3 linked regions of the Kluyveromyces lactis genome follow. The protein of the gene in region 3 interacts with the protein of the main gene of each other region in a pairwise test. Links are inferred from orthologs where the notes say so. Each region holds a gene or a part of one and is shown on either strand. Other genes may lie near its edges.

The links.
Region 1: the proteins of RRP43 (region 3) and SKI6 interact in binary tests that used the Saccharomyces cerevisiae proteins (3 or more experiments, as listed by UniProt). The link is inferred for Kluyveromyces lactis from reciprocal best matches to the Saccharomyces cerevisiae genes RRP43 and SKI6.
Region 2: the proteins of RRP43 (region 3) and NIP7 interact in binary tests that used the Saccharomyces cerevisiae proteins (3 or more experiments, as listed by UniProt). The link is inferred for Kluyveromyces lactis from reciprocal best matches to the Saccharomyces cerevisiae genes RRP43 and NIP7.

Annotation. Positions count from the first base shown.
Region 1 is NC_006040.1:808,863-817,193, forward strand, and holds SKI6 (exosome non-catalytic core subunit SKI6), read right to left. Parts: upstream 5,649-8,331; coding exon 4,911-5,648; downstream 1-4,910. Other genes in the region: divalent metal ion transporter SMF2, read left to right, coding at 341-2,008; FYV8 (Fyv8p), read left to right, coding at 2,372-4,834; GPI14 (glycosylphosphatidylinositol-alpha 1,4 mannosyltransferase I), read right to left, coding at 5,967-7,175; KLLA0_D09669g (uncharacterized protein), read left to right, coding at 7,481-7,888. UniProt on the Saccharomyces cerevisiae protein: Non-catalytic component of the RNA exosome complex which has 3'->5' exoribonuclease activity and participates in a multitude of cellular RNA processing and degradation events.
Region 2 is NC_006038.1:197,236-205,831, reverse strand, and holds NIP7 (ribosome biosynthesis protein NIP7), read right to left. Parts: upstream 4,081-8,596; coding exon 3,535-4,080; downstream 1-3,534. Other genes in the region: MRH4 (ATP-dependent RNA helicase), read right to left, coding at 1-786; signal recognition particle subunit SRP72, read left to right, coding at 1,315-3,231; pseudouridine synthase PUS1, read left to right, coding at 4,657-6,318; RSM23 (mitochondrial 37S ribosomal protein mS29), read left to right, coding at 6,675-7,982; CEG1 (mRNA guanylyltransferase), read right to left, coding at 8,091-8,596. UniProt on the Saccharomyces cerevisiae protein: Required for proper 27S pre-rRNA processing and 60S ribosome subunit assembly.
Region 3 is NC_006039.1:316,797-325,864, reverse strand, and holds RRP43 (exosome non-catalytic core subunit RRP43), read right to left. Parts: upstream 5,568-9,068; coding exon 4,428-5,567; downstream 1-4,427. Other genes in the region: SNT1 (Snt1p), read left to right, coding at 1-2,511; KLLA0_C03542g (elongation of very long chain fatty acids protein), read left to right, coding at 3,080-4,141; RBK1 (putative ribokinase), read left to right, coding at 6,131-7,132; putative ubiquitin-specific protease UBP12, read right to left, coding at 7,292-9,068.

The sequences.
Region 1 (8,331 bases), on a different chromosome or scaffold from region 3:
TTTTATTAGTTGCACCTATTCAGTTTCTTTGCCTAGTCTTTTCATTGAAACCTACTGAAAAGTTCAAGTGTGTCTAGTTTGGCTTTTCTGAAAACAGTTAATTGCACTTTATTGCTTAACCATCTTTTTGAGTTCACTACCGATTTCAAAACTGCTGTGCTAGTGTGACGGACACATTCCAAGTACAGGTCTTCAATCCATTCTTTTTTGTTCCCCGCACCATTATCAAAATATAAGAAAGTGATATACTCACCATCTGGACCTACTTCGCTGAACGTGTACTGTCTTCTGATAAATACAATCAAAAAAAAAAAAATATATTACCCAAGTATAACCCCGCATGTCTTCTTCTCTTCAGTTTAAAAAGGTTGCAGGTAGTGATGGGTCTTCTGCATGGAACACCAATGACCAGCAATATAATGCGTTCGTTCATGAAGGAGATACTGATACTCCGACTTACGTTAAAACATTCCAAAACTGCGTTCGTATATTGAAGAAGTATGCCAGGTTTGTGGGTCCCGGATTAATGGTTTCCGTTTCATACATGGACCCGGGGAATTTCAGTACCGCTGTGGCAGCAGGTTCTGCGCACAGATATAAACTTTTATTCTCTGTTCTGGTCACCAATATTCTAGCAGCATTTTGGCAATGCTTATGTGCTAAGTTAGGTGCCGTCACCGGATTAGATTTGGCTCAAAATTGTAAAAAACATTTACCTCCGACCCTCAATTTGGTTCTATACGTGCTAGCTGAAGTGGCGATTATTGCTACTGATCTTGCGGAAGTGGTTGGTACAGCAATCTCCTTGAACATCCTTTTCAAGATCCCGTTGCCACTAGGTGTCATTTTAACAGTAGTGGATGTCTTGGTTGTGTTATTGGCATACAAGCCTAATGGATCCTTGAAACTTGTACGGTGGTTCGAAGCCTTTGTTTCGTTACTCGTGTTTGCAACAGTGGTTTGTTTCGCAATCGAGTTATTCTCCGTCCACATCGACTCTGTAGGTGAAGTGTTTAAGGGATTCCTACCGTCAAAAGCTGTTTTCGAGAGTGATGGTTTGTATCTAAGTTTGGCAATTCTTGGAGCTACAGTTATGCCCCATAGCTTATACCTCGGATCAGGTGTTGTTCAACCAAGATTAAGGGATTACGACATCAAACAGGGACATTACATTCCATCACAAAATGATGAAGATAATAACCATGATAATTACAAACCTTCTATCGATGCAATCCACGACACATTAAATTACACAATGGCTGAATTATTGGTTTCATTATTTACTGTTGCCCTATTTGTTAACTGTTCGATCCTAATTGTAGCTGGTGCCACTCTATACGGGGTAACTTCAAACAATGCGCACGAAGCAGATCTTTTCTCCATCTATAATCTATTATCAGAAACTCTTTCAAAGACTGCTGGTACAATTTTTGTCTTGGCCTTACTATTCTCTGGGCAATCTGCAGGTATTGTGTGTACTCTAAGTGGACAAATGGTCTCGGAAGGATTCTTAAATTGGACTGTTGCTCCAGCATTAAGGCGTGCATTGACGCGTGTTGTTGCTATAACACCATGTTTGATTTTAGTATTGGTGGCCGGTAGAAACGGTTTATCAGGGGCTCTCAATGCCTCACAGGTGGTTCTCTCGTTACTATTACCATTTGTGAGTGCTCCATTGATTTACTTCACTAGTAATAAAAACATTATGAGAGTTCCTTGGGCTATAGATTGTTCTCAAGAACCGTCAAACTTATTTGCATTACAGAATTTGTCTTCCAGTAACTTAGCCACAGATGATGCTACCGTTATTGCTCATGATACTGATGATGAGGTGGACGCTCATCTAATTAATTCCCCTGAACCTCTATCAGATGAGTCTGTTCATTACAAAGATTTCAGTAACAGCATTTTCACTACGGTTGTTGCTGTCATTGTATGGATCTTCATCTCCGGTTTGAATTTCTATTTACTAATATCTTTTGCTAACGGTCAGGACGTCCATTTGTAGAGTGATTATTTCTTTCATACTAAAAATTAAAAGATATATATATATAAATGCATAGAATATTAGTCAAATTTCACATACTGTACGTATTATTACTGGCAACATTACTCCACCAGTATTTTCATCGAGGAAGCTTACCATATTTGTTTTAATATACATCATCCATCATGGTACCTTACTTTAAAAGATTTGACCTGTCTCTGACACATTTATTTTTCAAATCTGCGTTTCAAGGTAAATTTCTTGTGATCTTCGTGTCAATTTAGATCATTCTTTTAAGAAAAGTAAATTAAATAATAAACAAAAACCTTGGGATTAAGTTTAAGCCACTTTAATGAAAGTTAAGGACATCAAGAGGATTCTTTTATGGACGACATAGCAAGGCAACACTATCAGGATAACGCGAAAATGAGTGATAACATTACTAGGCATAAGTCCCAGAGATGGGTTAGCGCGTCAAAGGCAAACTATGACGGTGCTGATTGGGATGCCTATTCATCTAATTCTGAGGATGAGGGCCTAACGAATAATATTCCGCAACTACCACAGGTAAATATTCCTGAATCTAACAACATTGCAAAATCTAGCTCACCTGATCCATCAATTGGCACCTGCCTAAGATCTGACTCTCTGAATACATCTGTAAGATCAGGAAATAAATCTGTCAATGATGATCTAGATTCTCTAATGCATCAAATATCTCAAGAGATGACTGCAAAAGATGAGGACGTTAACAATACCAGTGATCCAGAGGATGAAGATGATGCAGAATTGAAGGTATCGAAGACTGGCTATTTTGCCGCATACGTAAACGATGAAGATACGGATGACAGAGAATCTGTTAAAAGTGATATAGAATCGGCCAAGCTAGCTGAATCTGCTACGGAGATTAACAAAACAGATAATGCGAAAGCAGAATCGGTTAGTGAAGTTGAGTCTGTAGCAGAATCAGTTAAGAGAGCTAAGGTTGAAGTTGAACCTGTCCAGATTGTGAATGTTGGGGAAGAATCCTTTAAGGGAGATGATTCTGAAGCAGAGTCGGTTAAAAGAGCTGATGTTGAAGTGGAACCTTTCAAGATAGTCAGTGCAGAGGAAGAACCCCTTAAAGGAGATGATACCGAAGTAGAACTTTTCAAGAATGCTGCTTCTGAAGTAGAAACTAGCCAAATATCAGTGGAGTTGCAAGACGAAATGATTGACCCAACAACTGAAATTCCTTCTAGAATACAGGGTGATGTTGCAATTTCAGATGACAAAGGCAGTAAAGACGCGGTAGATGAAGATAACTGGTCCAAATCAGACAGTCATCCAGAATCAATTGGAAGTCAAGATAAAGAAGAGATGCCTCCAAGTTCTATTAATAGTCTTCCGTCAGAATCCCAGTTGTCTATTCAACACTCAAAAGAAGGAGACAGCAATGATTCTGATTCACTGCTAAATGGTTATGGTTCAGAACCAAGTTTGATGAAAGACAATGCGTCGCCTGTAAAGCTTCGTAAAACATCCAAAACAGACCTGTCATATCACGACGGGTATTCATCAGAGTCTTCTGGCGAAGAGAAGGAACGTGCTATTTCCGAAGTTAGCCTGGGACAGTATGTTGTTCATTCTGCAGAATCTTTTAAATTCAGAAACCCTGTCAGGAACTCTGTTCTCGATTCAAGCGATGATGACATAGATTATACTGATGAGGATGGAGATTTAGAAGTCACTAAAAGTGGCTATTTCGCTGCGATGGTTGATGAGGACAAGGAAATCGACGATTCAGATAGGCATACATTGAATAACAACGATACAGATGGACTGACAGCTGATAGCGATGTTAATTCGATAACGGAGAGCGTAACGAAACGATTGAGTCAATCCTCTATAACCCAATCGGACGTTCCAGATCAGAATTCTGAAAATGACGTCGGAGGATATTCTGACAGCTCTGAAGACGAGGAAGACGGCCCACAGAAATTAGCATTCTCAACCAGGGAGTCAATCAATCTAGGCAAGTGGAAACCAGACACCGATGCATTCCGATCTGGTTTTGTTACTGAGACCATCGATATCAACAATCCTCCCGAAGGATACACCGTAAATGAGGACGGGGAAATTGTTGAAGTGAACAAAAACACAACATCCAATATTCAACGCAATTCATCGGTAGCATCAGACGGAGAAAGTCAATTTAATGCTTTTCCACATGACGTTGCATCAGATGATGACGACCTCAAGACGATTGCTGACACTAAAACAATTTATGACAATCAAACCATATATAACGTTCCTGCTCTGATTGCCAATAATGCATCTGCTCCGGCTCTCCCTACGAACATACAAATTACCAATGAATCTACTGACTACGTTTCTAGTAACGATACTATATTCAAACACGTGAACGGTGAAGCTCCAAAAGGTGAATCAAAATTAAAAGAAGCATTCAGTTCTGAAGGAGATGAAATTCCATCAGTGGTTCACCAGTCAACTGTCCCGAATCTAGACTTGGTCAAGCTTTTAAGCAGTAATGAGCTTCACTCCCAAAAACTAAAAAAATTAAACAATTACAAGGAACAATTAAAAGAATATGACTCCGGACTCCAGAGCTGGATCCAATATGCTTTGAAGTCTTCTACCACATCTGATAAGGATTTTATCTTCAAAGACTACAAAGTCAATAAACATGTTCAAGATGCTTATGCTCAAGCGGATATTTTGAGTAAAAAGAACAGCGTCGCAAATACGGTGAACCAAAATGTTACACATTTGAAGAAGAAGATGTTTTCTAGCAGCATGAGAGAAAAATCTAAGGGGTTATTCTCATCTATAGGTAAAAAATTGTAGTTAAAGGCAAGATCCGAATTGTAGAATGCATTTATGTTTACATGTTATGTGAAGTTTATAATTAATGGTTTAAAAATCAATTCGAAGAGTTTTCAACTCTTGTTTTTCCATGCTTTCTAAGCTCCTTATCCATTAAATCTCTAATTCTGTGAGTGCCTGCTATTCCGATGGCCATGACACTCTCAAGTCTATCCAAAGGCACTTTATCTTCCACCATTAATAAAGATAATTTTTCTGATTTACCAATTGTGCCTATGGTAACACTGCTCATTGCATTTTCCTCAAGCGAGTTAAGGTCTAGTAGTGGTGTAGTATCATAAAGTCCCACTGAAACCCCGCTTACAAAATCATACATTGCGATACCAGCATCTATCAGAGCCAATGTTATTCCATTAAGCATTGCCCCAAGAATCCCACCATCTAACTGTAGAGCATGAACTTGAACGTCAATTGACGTACGAGGATAGAGATGAAGCATCAAGTTCTTTTCAAATGTACGCACTAACGAAGCTTGCCATTCTAAGGTTCTTCTTTCATTCTTATGGCTTGATTTGCTTCTTTCCATCTTGGCAAACTTCGTTAAGTTAATAGTAACGGATAAAGTAGCTTGTTTCGTATTGACTTGTGACCTCGAGGATGGTTCTTGAGGACCAGCAACTAATGTGATAATCTTATTGTTACCTTGTTCCAAGTACGAGGATCCATCTGCAGCATTCGGGTGAGTGTTGATGGAACAGTTGAAACTTCTTAGCTCATTCCAACGACGACCATCGACACGCAATCCCTCTGGAGAATATATTTCAAAACGTGACATTATGTTACTCTGTTAGTTAAAGTGGGTTTTCCTACACGCTAGCTGGAGGGGCTAATTTCAATCTGACAGCCTCTGCTTTGAATGTACTTCTTCTAGTAGATGTCGATGAGCTCATATTTCACTTGTAAGATTCAAAACTTGAATACTTTTTTTTTTTCAAATTCTATTTCAATAATCAGTATGAAGAAAACAGCAGCGAGTGAATCTGACAACGGATATGAAATTGGATGAACGGAATGGAACATCAAAATACTCGTCAGGACTTCGATCGTGGCTTTGAAAATGTCACAGTACGCTACAGTATATGCTAAGTTAAAATTATATATTCTTCTTATGTTGATTGTCTTGGAATGACGTTCTGGATTTGATGTCAGTGATAAAGACACCGAGTAGATAGACGTTGATGAGGAAAAACACTATATTGCCAAAGAATAAGTTGGGGAAAAATACATTTTGGCCTTTGAATTCAAGTAGATATGCTTGTGAAAGCCATACGGCTTGAGACAATATCCATAAAAATATACAGACCACACCTTTTCTCCATGTAATGGTTGTATTTGCGAAATAAAATGGGGATAATACCAAATACCAAATGAAATATTGAGAAGTGCATACTTTATTGAAAGTAACGAATGCGTATGTTTGTACGAATAGGACATTCATTAAATTTTCGAACGTCTGTGATTTCCACAATAGATAAGGTAGTACTGCACATAGTGTCAATTGAGGAACGAATGCCAGCTTAGATAGTTCGATAGATTGGGAAAGATGAATACCAGCAGATTCTAAGAGTAAGACCAGGTTCCAAATCGAAAAATTGTGTCTGTGGTCTGTTCTCGTGAGATGGTACATGTACGAGTGTTCGATAAATTCGCTCCCGTAAAGCTTGTACATGAAATACGTCGGCGCAGTTATGCCGATTAGCGTCGATATCCCTATCATGAACAATCGCCAAATGCAGTTTCTATTGTGACTCGACAACAAGAGATATATTCCGATCGGTAGCGCATAGATTATCGGATAGATCTTGAAATGAATCGATAACCCATAGAAAAGTCCTGAAATAAGTAACCTGTCTCTTTTCAAAAAGTATAAAGCACATATGATCAAAAAACATAAAACCGATTCAGCGTTTCCTCGAGTACTTATCGTTATAACAATCGGGTTCAATAACCAAATAGAAGCTAGAATTAGCTGTTTTGTCAATTGACATGAACCTTGTAATAGTTTTATGATCATCACACCTGTAATGAGATCAAATAAAACAAAGAAGACTTTCCCCATATGAATCCACTTTAGATAATAATTGGGTAGTAACAAGAAGCTCAATAAAGGTGTGTACCTGTATGTATCACGCAAATAAGGGGATTGTCCATTGTTAACGTAACCAGCTGCATCATGAAAGACAAAGTAATCGATATCAGTATATTTAACGTCAAAATGCGAGTCTTGGAAAATACCGTAAGAAAAGAATCCAATTCGAAGTAGTAAAGAGACTGTTAATAATAAGATTACTTTTCTATGCATTTCCTGTTAGTAAAATGGCGGGCTTCAAGCAAGCAAGCAGTCGTTATGATCTTCAGATATGATTTTATTGTTCGAAATGTGGTTCCCCAAGGTTGGTATGTAATGCCAAAATCATGGCATTATGTTGAAAAAGTACAATTTAAATATAAAGTCACTTAAAGGTTTCTCGGAGAATCAAAGATGATTATAAGTAAGATGGGAAACCGATGAAGAGAACACCTAAATCGTCAAGGAGCGCAGTTGGTTTGAAAGTTTTGCCTACTTTTCACTAGGATCCACCAAAGTGGAACTATTTTAATTAAATCATGGAGAATAAGGAGGAAGCCACCGAGCTCTCTTATGATGAGTTGATGGATATCATTGTTAATAACAAACCAGTCCCAAACGTAGTGGATGTCCCAGATATCATACTAGACCAATCTTTGGCTACAGAGCATCACTTGAAACCACGGTTGAAGCCATGGGAGCAAGCGAAGGATGTGCCTGTAATGGGAGGTTTAGTTAGACAAAAGGAAGAGACCAAAGGATTGGCGGAAAACGTGGAACTAGTCAAGAAGTCAAATTCACTGGAGAAACTGACAAACTATTACGCCTTAGAGGTTGAGTTTCAAAAACAACTTAAAGGTTATGAGAGTTCTACAGGACTGAAAGGAAGAGGTAGGAGCTCTGCCGCACTTTCTGATCAAAGCTCAAATCACACCGACAAGGTATGAGTCTTTCTAGAAGTAAAGAAGGCTCACATAGGACTACCTTTGTAAGGCAAGGTCTTTAAAACACTTTAATATTTGATATGACTCGACGATTTAATTCAATCCACATCACCTGGACGAAGCAACTAGAAATTACGAAAACTCCGATACCTATTTGTCTCCCTTCTTCTGAAACACAAACTATATTCTTTTGCCAGTAGCAGCTTATTTCGGATAAGAAGTGATCTGATCTCTAAGATGCTCACAATTCAATTATTTTTGATAAGAAAGCTCCTGTAATTCATTGTCAGTGAATTACATACCCCTGAATCCATATTGAAAGTTTCCGCAGTTTGTAGAATTCAGGTTGATCTAATGACGGATATTCAAAAATTATCTTGTAAATAAGTACAATATATATATATATATATATATATATATATATCGCAAGATTCGAACCCATTGTC
Region 2 (8,596 bases), on a different chromosome or scaffold from region 3:
CCATTTATACGTGTGCATTCCGAGTGCAGGTTCTAGTTTAGACACTGTCTGGTATACTTGTTCTACAAGTTCATGAGTTGGTAACAATATTATGGACCTAACGATGGCTTTGTCTTTCAAAGTTTCCCATGAAGGATTTTCCATTTCTGTTCTCTTAAGATAATCCACCAAAGGAATCAAATAAGCCATAGTCTTACCAGAACCCGTCTCTGCAGCTATAAGACGGACTTGTAACTGAGGGTCCATTAAAGTTTTAGACGTCTGGTAGATAGCAGTAGTCTGGATTGGTGATGGTTTCAAATGTTTCTTGAATTCTTGTACATTATTCTCTTTTGGATTATACTTCACGTCCAGTAAATTCTTATTTAGCAATGATTCGCTTGAAATCACCTCCATAAGTTTGTCCCTTACCTCTGGTAAAATCTTCAACTGACTGAAATCATTTATCTTAGACACTAACCTCTTTGACCTTTCCAATATCTTTGGATCGCCTTCCGATAGTTTCCCATACTCACCATACTGGAACTGCTGTTGCGTCTGCTCTTGTGAGGGCTTTGCGCGGGAATCGCTCCTCGAATGTGACCTGTGATCACCTTTCCCATTACTTTTCCTATTCTTCACCGGCGGTTTCGCTTTGGTGTTCCATCTCGTGTCTGCTCTGGGCTTCGATCTTAAATTGGACTTGATACTGGAACCTGAATTCCGTGACACCGCATAACCTCTGGAAGCCAGTGAAATAAAGCCCGATTTGGAGGCGTATGGAAACCTTGAAAATACCGGCTGCATGCTCAACGTTTAGTTACTGCTTAAAGAGTCGGCCTTATGGTCTCTAACCGCATCTCATCTCATCTCATCGCTCGATTAAATATTACATTTCTATGAATGCAAGACTTTTTACATGTACAATAAAGAAAATATGCGGAATTGTCTGAGGAAAAATTGGTACAAAAGGGAAATTAATCATAGTTAAACAGAGTTCTACTTTGTGAAAAAACATTTCAACATTATCATTAAGACCTGCAGAAACAATTGTAGCCAAATATGCTAGCATAGTTGAAAAAAGAGAACTACATTGAGGTTAAATCCCTTATTTAGTCATCACATCTTTTATTTCACATATGCTCATCCAGATCTTTGCCATTTTTTTCATTCTTTTAACATTGCAACAATGAAAAAAAGTTGAAGAAAAAAATGGATTATCGAAATTCACTTCATAGGGACCAACGAATAGTTGTCTCACGATAGAGATCCATCGACTCATTGCTATCGTAATTGAGGAATTTCCGAAGGAAATAAGCTCTACTGAAAAAAGTAATGTCGAACGCTAAGGATTTGGTTTCTTTGCTTACGAAGCTTAATGTAAAGGATGAAAAAGTGCACATTGATGCCATACAGACAAAGTACGATACTCTCTCGAAGACTCTCGGTGAAGAGGAGACAAGTAGAGCTATTCTCAACGAACTTCTAGATTCTGAGCAATACTCTGCGATTATAAAAGCTCACCGTAAGATACCTGTTCTTTTTTCCCCTAGTGCGACCGCAAAGCCCAATAGTTTTTCAGCTTACGAACAATATGCTTGTTATAAGGTGGGTAAGGAAAAGAAATTTGCATCTGATTCGGACGTATCCCTTATTGGAGATGAATTGATGAGTCTTGAAACTCTAACAGATTCCCAAAGACAGCTTTTGCACATATACGCTCAAAACTTGTTAAAAAAAAAGAAACCTAAGAAGGCGTATGAAGTATACCAGAAATTGCTAGCCATTCCACATGAGCTCGATAATACTGCAGAATTGGCATGCAATAAAGAAGCTGCTCTTTCAGAAATTCCTGAATTGGTTGGAAATGTTACTCTTGATAAGGAATTCGATACATACGATATCTCGTTTAACAAAGCATGTCAATTGTGTTCAATCAGGAACCATGAAGCTGCACTAGAGTATGCAGAAAGAGCATTCAACTTAGCACAAGAAGATGATGCAGCGGTCGAAGATTTAAGAGCAATTAAATTACAAATTTCATATATACACCAGGTGCTTGGTCACAAAGAAGAGGCTAAATCACTCCTCAAAGAAATAGTCGAAAATTCCGCCGATCAAAATGACTTGAATACTGTACTTGCCAAGGCCAATTTGAAATCCTACGTGAGTATCTCAAAGTTTAAGGATAATTTGCCTTTATTATTACGTGAACTTGACACACCAACCCTAACAGGAAAACACTCGCAATTTTCATTCCAACAAGCACAAATTATCTCTAGCAACATTGAACTTTTGAAAGTGTTCAGTAACAACAAAGCTGGTAAAAATAAAACAAGTGTCCATTCAATTGCCAACAAGTTCTACACTGAAAATGTGGGTAACGTTTTATATGAACCCTATGAAAACCAAGCTGATGCTCTATGCAAGAAACTAGATAGGTCTGCCAAGGCAGAAATAAAAAACGAACAGAAACTTTTGATTCAAACATTGGTGTGTGTGCAAGTACTAGTTAAAGCAGGAAATCTGGATAAAGCTTTGGTTGTAGCTGAAAAAGTTTGGAATCATTTCCCTATGGAAGAATTATCTAAATATAAACGTATTCTTTCCTATGTTTTGCTAAACTTATACGATGCTACTAACAGGTCTTCTTCAACTTCAAAGCATTTATCGAAGCTATTAAGATTATATTCAGAGCAGGTTCTTGAAGAAGATGTTTCTTTCTGGGAGTTCATCGCTTTCAAATTTTTAGAACAAGGCCAAACTCAAAAGGCTGAGCGAATTTTCAGAGCACTCGCTGCCAAAGATAACAATTCTGCTTCTGCAAAATACATCGCGAAAGCAGACGCCAGCGACCTTGGTGACTATGTCGATGCTAATGATATCAACGGAGTTATCGTCGATGTTAATGTTGACTCCCTCCTTAATGCAGGAATTTCAGTATTCGAGAATGGTAAGAGTAAATCGTCGGTGATCAAATCAACTCCAAAGAAGAAAAGAAGAGTGCACAAAAACAAGAAACTACCAAAGAACTTTGACGAGTCTAAGAAGTTGGATCCTGAAAGATGGTTACCGTTAAAGGAGAGATCAACTTATAGGGTTAGCAAAAAGAACATTTCTGGGAAGAACACTCAAGGTTTTAAAGCATCTAAGGCTTCAGAAGCCAAATTAGATATCACTAAGAAAGCCGTGAAGAAGCCAGCAGGTAAAAAAACGTCAAATGCTAAATCTAAAAACTCGCGTAAGCATTAGAGGGAACTAACAACATATGTACATTCATTTTACTTTTAATTAATGTAGTTTTTCCTGCGATATCAAATATCAGTCGTCTTTGATTTTAATTTAGACAGTCTTTGATGAAGATGTGAGTATTATTTGTTCCGTAATATATCATAATATACAATATCGTTGATAAATAACAACTTTTTTTTGAGGTGGGAACATCGCTGAATTGCAGTTGCACCAGGGGAAGGTTTTGTTCTATCCAGAAAGTGAAATGAGTAATAAGTTCTATATATGTAACAAGTAAGTGAAAATGTACTTTGGAGTATTCGCCTAAGTAAACAATGTATCTTCATCTCTCAAGTACTCACCAATATCTGCTTGTCTGAATGCGACAATACTGGTTGGTTGAAGATCTCTGGACTCAGAAGTGCTCTTAGCACTCACACCGAATCCTAATGGCACATCATGCATCGAAAATACGATTACACCTGCATGCTCTGGAATATCATCGGACATCTTACCAACGTGTGCCTTCAAAACGTGGTTACCGTATAGGAATGGCATCTCACCATTAGGTTTGATCCACACTTTGTACTTAGCGTATTGCGCAAGTACTGACAAAGATGTGATATGCAATCTAAATTTCCCAGTCTTGGTAAACTTCCCCATGCAGAGACCCAATGACATCAGGTTCGGTCTAGCAACTGAAGTAGCTAAATTGGCAATGTGCTCTGGGACATAGTACACTCTATCCTTCTGTAGTCGGAAAACATGAGGTTGATCTTTATTATCCACCAAGTACACTATATTCCTTCCAATGTACCCTGCTAGCTTCTCGAAGATTACTTTCGTCTCTTCCTCTGTCAATTGTCTCATTGCTATTATTTCGATACCTGATTCTGACCGGCTTTGAATTCAATACAACAGCTTCGAATACTATTTCGTAGAGTACTCATCGCTTCAGGTATAGCATCATCTTTTATGCGATGAGCTTCAGTCTAATAATGATGAAAAGAAAATTTGATGCTGCCCTTCAAGATACCAGGAAAAAGAAACAAACAAATCACGTGATACTGAGAAATATATCTAATAACCTTCGTAAACGCAGTATACAGGTGCTCAAACCTTTTACAATCGATACACTGGGCTCCAGATAGAGGTTAACGCACATAATGAGTATCCAAATGGATAAAATGAGCTAAAGAAATATGTTATTCCTGTATTCATGATTTTCTTAGATCATCGCTGACCTCTTTGCTGAAAAAATATGATTCTTCATACAAATCTTGGAAAGTTTAAACTTTTATCAACAGCTCATCGCTCTGATTGAAAGTCTCAAGGTTGAACGTTGAATGCTAAATTGGGCTTTTCTATTCTTCTTAAGGCTCAATCAGACCTACCACTTATCTATCTGCAGAGGTGCTTCAATAGGGAAAACTAGAAGCGGGTGTTATGAGCGAAGAACAAAATTTGAGACCGGTTTATGATGATGATCAACCTGGTGAAGATACTTACAAGAGAGGCGCCATCTACAAGCAGACCAGATCACGGAAAGCTGACTATGAGGATGGTGAGAATTCTGAAAAGCGTCAGAAACCAAACGACACTGATAATGGGCCAACCGCTGTTGTCACAGACCTTTCCAACGAAAAGAAAGAGACTCGATCCAAGGATAAGGACGAGTCAGTGGCTTTAGCTGTGGATGCTGATGGAAATCCAATTCCCCAAGAAGTTCGTCTACCCAAGAGGAAAGTAGCAGTCATGATTGGGTACTGCGGTACTGGATATCATGGAATGCAATACAATCCACCGAACGACACCATTGAAAAGGAACTGTTTGAAGCCTTTGTTAGAGCTGGTGCGATATCCAAGGCAAATTCGACAGATTTGAAGAAAAACGGGTTTCAACGTGCGGCAAGAACCGATAAAGGTGTTCATGCAGGTGGGAATGTGATTTCATTAAAGTTAATCATCGAAGATCCCGAAGTCAAAGAAAAAATCAACAACGAATTGCCGGATCAGATTAGAGTTTGGGACATTTCCCGTGTCAACAAGGCATTCGACTGTCGGAAAATGTGTAGCTCTAGATGGTACGAGTATCTGTTACCAACTTATTCACTGATTGGCCCAAAACCGTCTACTTATTTATACAACGAGATTGAAGCTAGCAAGAAGGAAATACCGAATGTTATCCAAGATGATGTAGAAAGTGCACAATTCTGGGAAGCATTCTCTACTGAGGCTGAATCTAAGTTTACCAAGGAGGAATTGGAAGAGATTGCAGCTTTTGTCATGCCGAAAGATTCTTTTGATGAAAACAATGAAACTTATCAAAAGAGCAAAGCATTCAAGAAACTCGAAGCAGAACACAAGAGAGCCTACAGAATTTCAAAAGAACGTTTAGATAGATTCAGAAGTGCATTAAAACAATACGAGGGTACTTTTAACTTCCATAATTTCACCTTGGGGAAAGATTTCAACGATCCGAGCGCCAAGAGATTCATGAAGCAAATCACAGTCTCAGAACCGTTTGTTATTGGTGAAGCTAAGACGGAATGGGTATCGATCAAAATCCACGGTCAATCGTTTATGTTACATCAAATTCGTAAGATGATATCTATGGCAACTTTGATCACAAGATGTTTCAGTCCATTGGAAAGAATTAGGCAGGCATACGGTCAAGAAAAAATCAATATTCCAAAAGCCCCTGCTTTAGGTTTATTATTGGAAGCCCCGGTTTATGATGGTTACAACACTAGATTACAAGAATTCGGATATGATCCGATTGACTTCAGTAAATATCAAAGCGAAATGGATACGTTCAAGATGAAACATATCTACGATAAAATTTACCTTGAAGAAGTCAATGAAAACGTCTTCAACGCCTTTTTTTCGTACATCGACACCTTCAACCCTTCATATAATATTAGCCAAGAACAACAGCAGCTGAAGGGGCAAGAACTACAGCAACCCTCTCAAGCAGTGGAACTTGTTACCGAAGATTTGGAACAAAAGGCTCCATCAGATCCTACTCCATCCGACGAAAAGGGCAAAAAACCACAAAGGCCAATCTTTGATTTCCTCACAGCAAGAGGTATCCAACTACAGGATTAAGATCTTCTGTCCGACACCATTTATAGCATTGCGTGTTTCGTTCTTCCCTTTAATAGATATACTTCCATAGTTCTTAGTGTTTTCACGTGACACGTATATTTTATTTTCTCTTAAGCTTTAATGATTTCAATATCTGAAAAATTTTCGAAATTTGAACTACTTCAGTAGCAGGCAGACTTCAAGTGACATAGATAAAGAATAACAGAACTACGTGAAATAATCCACTTTAATAAGTCAATTTGTGTTGGTTTTAAGAATAATTACAGAAGTGTGATTTAGTAAAAAAGAAGCTATATTAGTGAGACGGATTTCACTTCTTTTTAGAGATATCCGGACCCGTAAGATATATTTCGATCATGTTGAGAATACATACCAGACAGTTCTCCTGCAGTGCTGCAGTAGAGGCTGCAGCTAAGAAGAAAGCCCAAGGGTTCGCTAAGGCTCAATCAGGAACTAAGGCAGCAGCCAAAAGAATTACTCCTGGTTCCATGTATAAGAGATGGCAACCAGCTGTTGCAACGGCTAATTTACATAAAAATGCAACTTTTGTCGATCTGCCCATGTTTAATCCTAATAACATCAGTGCCGCAGATGTCCATTCTTTCTCAGAGCAGCAATTACAATTCTTGTATCGTCTGGGTTCATTCAAGCAAAATCAATTCAATGAATTGTTCACACGTCCAATATCACTAGTTAGAGATTCCACCACTAGAAAATTGTACGAAGCCTTACGGAAGTCAGAAAACAAAAAGCTTGTTCTAACAGGTGAACCAGGTGTGGGTAAGTCTACTCTACTGGCCCAGCTACATGCTCACGCACTAGAAAACAAGGGACTTGTGTTAACTGTTTCCAACTCCGAACTTCTTACAAATGGTAGAAATGACTTCTTCTTGGATGAAGACAGATACATTCAACCAATGTACATCAAGAACTTATTAACCAAATTTGTCAAATCCAACAAAAAAGAATTATTGCAATCCATTAAACTCTCCAAAGACTATAAATTAGTTCACTCTGGGGGTAAAGACCTATCTGTGAAGAGAAATGTGAATTTATCTGCAGGTAAATCCACGTTATACGATTTACTAAGTGTCAAGGCACCATCTCGTCACCGTGGAGCCGTTTTCGATGCATTCATTAAAGAATTAACTAACCAAACTGATCATCCGGTCTATTTCACTGTTGATAACTTCTCCCATCTTTTGACTACACCATTCACAGCATATAAAGACACAAGCAACAAAAATATTCATATTTTAAAATTCCAGGTTGGTCAATCTATTTTTGATTTAGTCTCTGGCGATTTGCAATTCGCTGCTAAGGACAGCTGTGTTGTTTTGGCTACTTCGGGTTTGGATAGAACCAATAGAACGTTATCAATTGGTTTGCAAAAGCTTCCTCACGATCCATATTTGACCAGATACCACTATGAACAAATTTTGGCCGAAAAGTTACTAAAGGGTAAAGTACAGGAGTTCGAAGTTACCAAACTTAATAAAGATGAAGTTGCCAAATTGATGGAGTTCTACCAAAAGGCGGGTATCGTACTTGACAAAGATTTACAGAACAAAACCTTCGAACAGCTTACCGAAGAAAAGTACTTCTTAAGTGGTAATGGTAATCCAAGGGAATTGCTCAAGAGTATTACACTATATCCATTCTAATTGTACATATTATATATTACAAAAAAACCCATGTAAATACAGGAAAGAAATATAATATGAGCACATATGCTCGTGTATATGTTATGCTTTTAACTTGACGCAAGATTCTTAAATCTTCTGTCTTTTTGTGTCTGGCTCGTCATCAGACCAATTATCATCGTCATCGTCTACATATTTTGGTTGATCTTGCGACTGCTCTGGTTCGGTTGAATGTTGCTGCGACAGCGACGATCTCGCAGAAGCCTGATGGTTGAATTGTTTTTGTGCATTTTTCAGTCCTTGTTCACGTTCTTTCCAGCGAGATCTCATTTCATCTACCACTTGTTCTAGATCATCCAATGAAACAGAATCACCGATACTTTCCAAGACTTTTTGAACGACTGATACGTGATTACCATTGAGTTTATCGTCTCTGAACCTAAGTAGTTTCCATGCACCTGATTCCTGATCTTTGGAACATTCTACAATTCTTCCGTTCAATGGCTCCTCCATGGCCTTGAGCTCATTCCATTGTTTGTCGTCGATTTCTATTTCTGCAAATTTTCTATAGGTTCTCTCCAAAAGCTCCAAATCACTCTTAGTAAAGGGTTGTTCGAAGTCCTGTATTCTATTGT
Region 3 (9,068 bases):
AAGCGTTACGAATACTTAAGAAATCTACAGTTGAAAGATCAATTCTTCAAACTTCAGGATATATGGGAAAAGAAATGTGACCAGATGACGGAGCTCAGTGAGAGTTTCCATAGATCTGAACCAAGCGGAGAGCAGAATAAATATGAGAATCTCCAAGCAAATGTTGAAAATGCAAATGAGGCTTTTGAACAACGCCCCACAAGCTCACGAAGGAGGAATAGGGCTGATTTTGTTGATGATAATGATATTGAAAACGTATTACTACAAATTGATCCAGATTACAAACATCATCAATTAGCAGCGAACATTCCTGCTATGACATTGAATCCTGTTGATAAATTTGCCTGCAAATTCAAAGATGTGAACAACTTGGTAACAGATAAAGATGCGTGGGCAAGTAGGCTCTTGACTGATCGTATTGATTCATTCACTCCTTATGAGCATGAACTTTTCGTTGAGGGTTATCTAACATATCCAAAGAAATTCGGCAAGGTTTCACATTATATGGGTGGATTAAGAACTCCTGAAGAGTGCGTCTTACACTATTATAGGACAAAGAAGAAGAGCAAGTACAAGAAACTATTGCTTGAAAAACACAAGAAAAGGAAGGCCAGCATTGGACGTCGTAAAAAAGACAAGTTCGATATTAAGAAAAAAGATAGCGAGGATAAGGTAGAGACTGAAGTACCATTACCTTCCACATCAAACGTTGAAACTCCTGTTTCTCAAACATCTGTTTCTGAAACTCCTGTTGAACAATCTGTTCGTACTGTTGAGCAAGTTGTCCCTGAAGTAGACCATCCTCCTCCTGCTGAAGTTCATCCTGTATCCACTTTAGAACAACCACCTACTTTGGAACAAGAACCTAAATCCACAGAAGAACCGCCAACTTTGGCCAAAAAGGTTGAACCATCTTTGGCAACTTTTCAAGAACAACCTGTGATCAATATAGAAGCAAAGAAGGAATCCGATACTGAGACAGAAAATGAAGCAACGACGGACGGCGATTATAATATTAAACAACAGGTAATGGATTCAAGTGTAAATGTTTCTGAACCAGTTTACATGGTACAAGAACAGGTGTTACTTTCCAATAAACCATATGAAGATATTGTGCCAATGTTAGCTGATATGACATCAAAATCTGTAATCAATGAATCTGTAAAGAATGCTGATCATGCGGATATTGGATTTGATAATACTGAATCCCATCTTAAACCAGAGGATGAGGTTTCTTCAAAGCATTCACTTTATGATCAATCAAACGTCAATTCTGCAGACCAACCTATGAAGAAGAAATTGAAACAAACAGAAGCTGTGCATAAATCGAGCTATTGGAGTGTACAGGAAGCAAAAAAGTTCCCAGAATTGCTCAGAGAGTTTGGTTCAAATTGGACATCGATATCTCAGAAACTTGGAACAAAATCAACAACTATGGTTAAAAACTATTTCCAGAGGAAAGCGGAACAAAATGGATGGTATGCTCTTGTTGAAATGGGCAACAACCAACTTGCATCCTCATCAGTTCTATCATCAGGAGACCAGTCTACCAAACCCGTTGCTATTGCTCCGGCTCCCAATGTGAGTTCAGCTATTATCGTGAACTCATTGCCTTCGCCTGCAACGGTTAATAAGCCTGCGGAAAAACCATCCATTGAGCCACTTCCGCTACAAACGATACCGCAGCAACAAAAACCTGCTGTTGGATTTTTCAATGATTCTAAATTGTCATCCATTCACAAACCATCCTTTTCTCTAACCGGAAATGAAGATAGTTTTTCGAGATTACCAACTCCAACCCAAGGTTTGCCTCCCCAGCATTCACCTGTTATCACATCATTCAGTGTTCCACATACTCTTCCAAGACTGAATACTAATAAACTTCCTGAAATTCAACCCTCAATCTCCAATGCTTATTCGAACCTTGGCAAACCACAAACTCCCTCTGTTCATTTTTCTGCGAATGCTTCTGAAACTCATCATGCTCCAGTACAATCACATACAATTACTTCCAGTAGGAGGTCTTCAATCAGAAGCCTATTGAACGATGGCGAAGATTCGGAAACTAAAACTAATACGATCTTAAACACATCACCAACTGTTGTGGCATCACCGATTGGGCCATCAAATTTACCAATTTTAAGACCAATGCGCAATGCTTCTGTTTCTCCTCCATCAATTCCTCCCTCTAAGGGAAGTGATTCGGTTGTCTCCAAAGTAATTGTTCAGGAGTTATCTCATAATGTACCAACGAAACAATCAAATGATTTATCGAAGCCAATGGCTCTGGCACCTACGTTGCCTCCTGCTCCGTCGAATCCACCTCCAACCGTGCAGGCAGTTCCACAATCGATTAACTTTGCTAACGATCCTTTAGCCGCACTTGCAGCGGTTGCTTCATCCTCTGAAGCGTTCGGCCTGATGCCTACAACAAACACGAGTAATCTTAATCAACAATCACCACACCAAACTCAGATCAATTCAAGCACATATAATCAACAGCGCCAATGAATTTTACTGTCATTATTATCAATCATACAGCCTTCTGGTTTCAGGCCATATTTTTTTTATATTCGCTCACATGTATGAACGTGTCAGATCCTATCTATGTACACAAATTTGTAACAATTAGTCACTTAATGCACTGAAATTTTAAAGTTCGTTTCAGATAAGCACACCATTGTCCATCTCTTGCTCTGTCGGTTCTACAGATTCCAAGCCTCTGCTGACACTAACTCGCTACATCATATCACATTCAACGAACCGAGGTAAAATTTCAAAATTTGGCATAACGTCAACATTTCCAAATAATGAAATGGAATCGAACACCACTGACGTGTTTTTCGAATAAAAAGATGAAGAGAACGCCGAACTGTCTTTCATATTTCCAACTATCTTCAAGAGATTGGCTCTCGATTATCCATTTAATTGTCGCTCATTTATTACATTTCTTTTGAAAACGCTTGGTTCCGCATAACATTTGGGCAACTAACGTAAGAAAACAATCTGAAGATCTCACAAGAAATTCCACATACTGCTGTTTTGTCATTTCATTGATACTTTGTAGCAATACTTCAACATGTCCGCACTTTCAAACACTTCACAGTACCTTGAAGATTTTGTAGAGAAATATCCAGTGGTGATGGATTATGTCCCAACAGTTGACAGACCTTTTTTCAATATCTCATTATGGAACAATTTTGATGCCATTGTCACTAAGGCTACTGATGGAAAATTCATTCCAAGTCAATTCAAGTTTGTATCTGGTGAATTACCATTAAGTGAATTATACCCAGTCTTGGCTGCTATTGCAACTTATTATCTCGTCATCTTTGGTGGTCGTGCTGTTTTGAAGAACAGCGAACCTTTCAAGTTGAACTTCCTATTCCAATTGCACAATTTGTTTTTAACACTTTTATCTTCTACATTGCTCGTGTTGATGATAGAACAGTTAACCCCAATGATCATCAGACATGGTTTGTACTACGCTATTTGCAATTATGGTGCCTGGACACAACCTTTGGTTACTTTGTATTATTTGAACTACATTACCAAGTTTATCGAATTTATCGACACTATATTCTTGGTCTTGAAGCACAAGAAATTGACATTTTTGCACACTTACCACCACGGTGCTACTGCGTTACTATGTTTCACTCAATTGGTCGGTACCACGGCTATATCATGGGTTCCAATTTCTCTGAACTTGGGTGTCCACGTTGTCATGTACTGGTACTACTTCTTGGCAGCTAGAGGTATTAGAGTTTGGTGGAAAGAATGGGTTACAAGATTCCAAATCATCCAATTCGTTGTTGACATATGCTTCATTTATTTCGCGGTTTGGCAAAAGGTTGCTACTGATTATTTCCCAAGCCTACCACATTGCGGTTCTTGTGTCGGTTCGACTACTGCCACTTTCTCTGGATGCGCCATCATCTCTTCTTACTTATTTTTATTCATTGCATTTTACATTGAAGTGTACAGACGTCAAGGCACAAAGAAGTCTAAGGTTGTTAAAAGAGTTCGTGGTGGTGTTGCAGCTAAGGTTAACGAATATGTGAATGTCGATTTGAAGAATGTGAGTACTCCCTCTCCTTCTCCAGCTCCAAGAAAGAGAAATACTAGATCTAAGAAGGCATAAATACATGTTTTTGCATGTAAACGTTGTAATATTCAACACACGCTATCATTTTTTATTCTCTTCTCTTCATCCTTGTTTATTTATGTTACATTTTCTTATGGATGTTTTACCTTCAATAGGTTTCCTGTCATGATTTGGTACGAAAGAGAACTCACGTAGATAACTAGAAATTTAGCCTCTTTTGTAAGTAACTATTGATTGACGTTCAAGATTACTCTGACGTTTGTTTTGAAGAAAGTTTGAATATGTCGTGTATTATAAAGATATCGATATGCTTCTTACACAACTAAACTTTGGATTCAATATCTTTTGATCTTTGTTTAGATAAAAATATGCACCTTTTTATCATTTCAGGTGTGATCTTAGAGTCACCTCCGATGATTGTTGCAGCCTTGAATTGACCATTTTTGTTCGTTGTCAAGGACAATGTAGATAGAATTGATGATTCCTCGGCCTCTGTTTCTATATCCGCTAATAATACTGAAGTTGGTTTATCCACGTCCATTTCGTCATCATTTTTGGCCAATTGTGCTAAAGGTTCGATGTCAATGATTCCGTAGTTTGAACCATAGCATAATTCTCCTTCGTTCAATTTTAAAGGTAAAGATTTGTGTGGGTCGCATAAGATGTCGTATGTTTCACGAATTGTCATACTACGACCTCGGGTTCTTATAGCAATTTTCAAATCAGCAGCACGTTCGTCTAGGAAAGCTCTAGGTAGTTGCACTGTTTTTAGCGCACTAATCAAAGAATTCCAACAGAGATCATAAATTGGACCGTTACGGCTGAAAACTTGTATTTTGGCATAAAGCACATAGGACCATTTCCTATTGTTTGCTTCATTAATTTTTTTCTCCTCATCGAGTAGCTCGTCACTGTATATTGTGGTGACACTTCCATCTTCTTCAGTCCTGCGAATACCGCACGATACAGCCAAAGCTGTTTTCTTAAGAATTCCAGAATGTAAGAGTGTCTTGTATAGCTTTTCTGAAGTGATCATCTCTTCATCGGTAGGACCACCAACACGTCCACGTTGTACCTCTACTACGGGATAAATAGTTGAATTTTCGCAGAGCCTATCAGTATCTTCTGAAAGCTTCATCAATTCTTCTTCTCCAACATCTTCAGTATTGTTCGCCGGTAATGTCTCTTCAATGATGCCACCCGTTATCGAAGTTATCACAAAGGTCTTGCCAGAGCGTAGAAGACTGGAACCAATAATGTTATTTGTAGTTGCATTTTGACAGTTCGTACTGTACCTAGATATATTACCATCGTTAATGGCAACATCTCTGAATTCTTCGAATCCTCTTGAACATGGTCGAGTTTCCAAAGACAAATGTCTTTGTAAGGAGATGTCAGGCGAAATTCGAGCTAAAACTTCGGGTGGGAAAACTATTGGATGTATATCAATACTTTCAGTCATACTTGATCGGTTGTAGCAACTCCTTGGCGGAGTTCCTCCATCCTTAAGCCCATGCGATGAGCTATAATCGTTTGTAAAAGACCTAGTTGAAGTTTTTCACTTTTTTATACATCCTTGACGTTATGAAGGTTTGAAAGATTTATGCAGTAATAATGGATGGAAAACACTGGTATAAACCCCTGAGAGGGTCGAACACTATCAGGAATCGATACAGTATACTGGTTATGCCTTTCAATTCTTAAGTGACAAGGTTCTGAATAGATCTGCGGACTCCCTAGGCTGCTTAAAAGAATATAATTCTCACGTGACCGATATATTGATGTGATATACCCTAAATAACAGCTAATCCAGCGAAAGGTGGGATAGATGTCAAGTGGTACGTTACATCTTCGTTACTTTTAATTAGCTTAAATGTAAAAAGGTACCGTTTTGTTCTCTGCTTTGGGTTTATTTATGGACATCTGAAACGAAATGATAAGAATTATATGCAGGATTTGACAGTATATACAATGCATTAACTGCGACATAAAGAGCTTGGACCCCAAAGTAAACAAGACAACAGTATGGGCATAGTTGTCGTGGGATCGTTAAATTTTGATTTGGTCACGTATACGGAGCGTGTTCCGGTAGCAGGAGAGACCTTCGTTGCGGATTCGTTTGAAACACATGCTGGTGGTAAGGGGTTGAATCAATGCATTTCGCTCGCGAAATTAACCAAACCATCTGATGACCAGACAAGCAACATTAGGATGGTTGGCCACGTAGGTTCTGATTCATTTGGAAATCAACTACTATCAAAATTGCAGTATCATAACATCAATACAGAATATGTTGAAGAGGTTGATGACGAGTCAACTGGTGTTGCAGTAATTATAGTGGAAAAAGCTAAGGGACAAAATAGAATCATGATTACAGCAGGAGCGAACAGTAAGACTATGTATTCTGATAAGCAGCTTGAAGTGATGTTTCAAAATAACGCCAAAGAATTCATTGTGTTTCAACATGAAATTCCTGATCCTCCTTCCATCATGAATTGGATAAAGGCAAATAGACCAAACTTTGAGGTAGTATTCAACCCTTCTCCATTTCATGCATTAAAAGTAGAAGACTGGAAATCTGTTGATATTTTAATTGTTAATGAAATTGAAGCCATTCAAATTGGCGAATCACTGTATGGTGAAGCCGTGGTTGAGAACTACAAATCGAGAATTGCGGAGAGCTTCAAGCTGGGATACCTAGAATTAGCGCAGTATTATCAGAGTAATTTGATAAACACATCAAATTCCTCGGTTGTTATTATAACTTTGGGAGAATTCGGTGCAGTTTTTACCTCTAAGCAAAACGTTAAAGGAGGTCACGTTCCTTCAATAGCGGTTGAGAAAGTTGTTGATACTACTGCGGCTGGTGATACCTTCCTTGGAGCGGTAGTATCTCAATTATATCAAAAACGCGATCTAGAGAAAGCTATACAGTTTGCAACTGTAGCTAGTTCCATAACCATTACGAGAAAAGGTGCAGCGGAAACAATTCCGCTATACGATGAGGTTATTAATAAAATAGAGTGATAGTTTGTTTGTTCGTATAAACGAATGTCAATGCTATATTTCGGTATGTATTTGTCTAAAATGAGCTTCTAATAAGATTCAATGCATTTATTCGTGCGGTATGCAAATTTCGCTGCTGGCCAGGAAATTCAATAAGGGTGATGTTGTATTCTGAACAATCTAAGATTCGTTATTATTAGAAGATGATTCTGTGTGGGAAATACATGGTGATAGTGAATCTGTACTCGAGTTAAGGTTAGAGGAATCTGGAAGATATATTTTATCTAAAAGCCTAAGCTTTCTCCGCGAAGAGTCATGCGTATCTAATTTCGCAATATTACTGCCAACCTCGAGGCTCGATACGTTGTATTGTAGAGCTCCTTTTCTTTCTGTTGCTGTAACCGTTTGTTCTGCTTCAGGTAGTTCATTGTTGTTCAAAGTAGATTCGATGCTACCATTTGCATTCTTCGAAGTATGAATAGTGTTATCTTTTGAAGGTCTGTTACTGTATGTTAAGTTGTCCATACCTAAAGAATTGCTTGAAATATCGCTCTGATCAACAAATGCTGATTTTTTATCATTTTCACAGTCGCTGTTGTCAGAGTCCATTTCTTCATCAACTGAGCTCCTGTCCGAATCTGATGCTTCACTCTCAGTGTCTGTATGTGTTGCAGCGTATAATGTTTCCACGTTTGTCATAAACTCGTCCTGTTTCTGTTCATATTCTTTCCGAGAAATATCAATAATGTCCCGCAATTTTCCATTGCCAAGAGTTTGGTTCCCTGAAGTGCGTCTTCTGTAGAATAACAAGTAAGCAGATCCGGCAATGCTATTTTCAGGAGATACTTCATTAACCCGGGAATCGTCAAAATAGTACCATTTGCCGTCAATAAAGTTTCTGCAGTATGCGGTGTAATGGCCACCTCCAAGACCACCATAATGGTTGTCCACAGCAATCAAATCATAAACATCATTTTCACCTTCCTTTTTGTAAGATAAATAAGGAGACATATCCAAACCTTCTATTGGAAATTTAACAGTCGCGTCGATCTTATCACTAAAAGATCGCTGATTTTCGAAACGCTTTAAATGTATCAATAAAATATCAGGAGTATTCCATAATTCTATCTGTTTAGAAGCCTGGGTATGCTGTTTGCAATTCGGACAGTACCAAGAGTCTGCTGAGCCCAAAATTTCGGGTTGAGAAAAGAGCCGTAAACACGAATCGAGAGTAATACTTGATTTTTCTGTTTGGGCTCTTGTTTTTCTGACTTCTGACAAGCTCAAATTTTCAAGAATTGCTGGATGATCCCAGTTCACTCCATTATCTTCATCAAAAACATTAATCACTTTGACAGCCTCCCATTCGCAAATAATCGCATTGTGGACATCTAACAATGGACTGACTTTTAAGTGCAATGTTCCATCCAGGGCCTCTGCACTACTTGTCACATTTTCTTCGGGGTTGGGACTGGTGTAGGACTTTGTGGCAAGGTCATTAGCAGTATCCGAAACTGTTTGATCATTAGGAATATCATCTTCGTTTGATAACATATCAGAATAGTAATATGCTGCTTCAATAGCCTCTGGGAGAGCTTTGCGTATCAGTTCGCTGTGATTATAGGTTATCAAGGATGCTGTAGGCGGTATCCATATTTGTGAGTTAGGCTCATCGGAAGTCTGTCCTAGTGAAACACCAGAAAAACTAGTAACTCTACGATTCGAACTGACAGAATCAACCTTCAAGATTTTCAGTTGAAAAAACTCATCGACTGACATCTCCGGATTGATATATTCTAATTCAGGCATAATTGACTCTATCTCACATTGACTGTACCTTTTCTCCAATAAAGGCATGGAGGAGAGATCTGGCATCTTAGTCTTACCTACTATGGGGAACTCAGAAAATCCTCCGGAGAAGTTTTGATAACATTTTTCGATTTTCTTTCGTATCGCA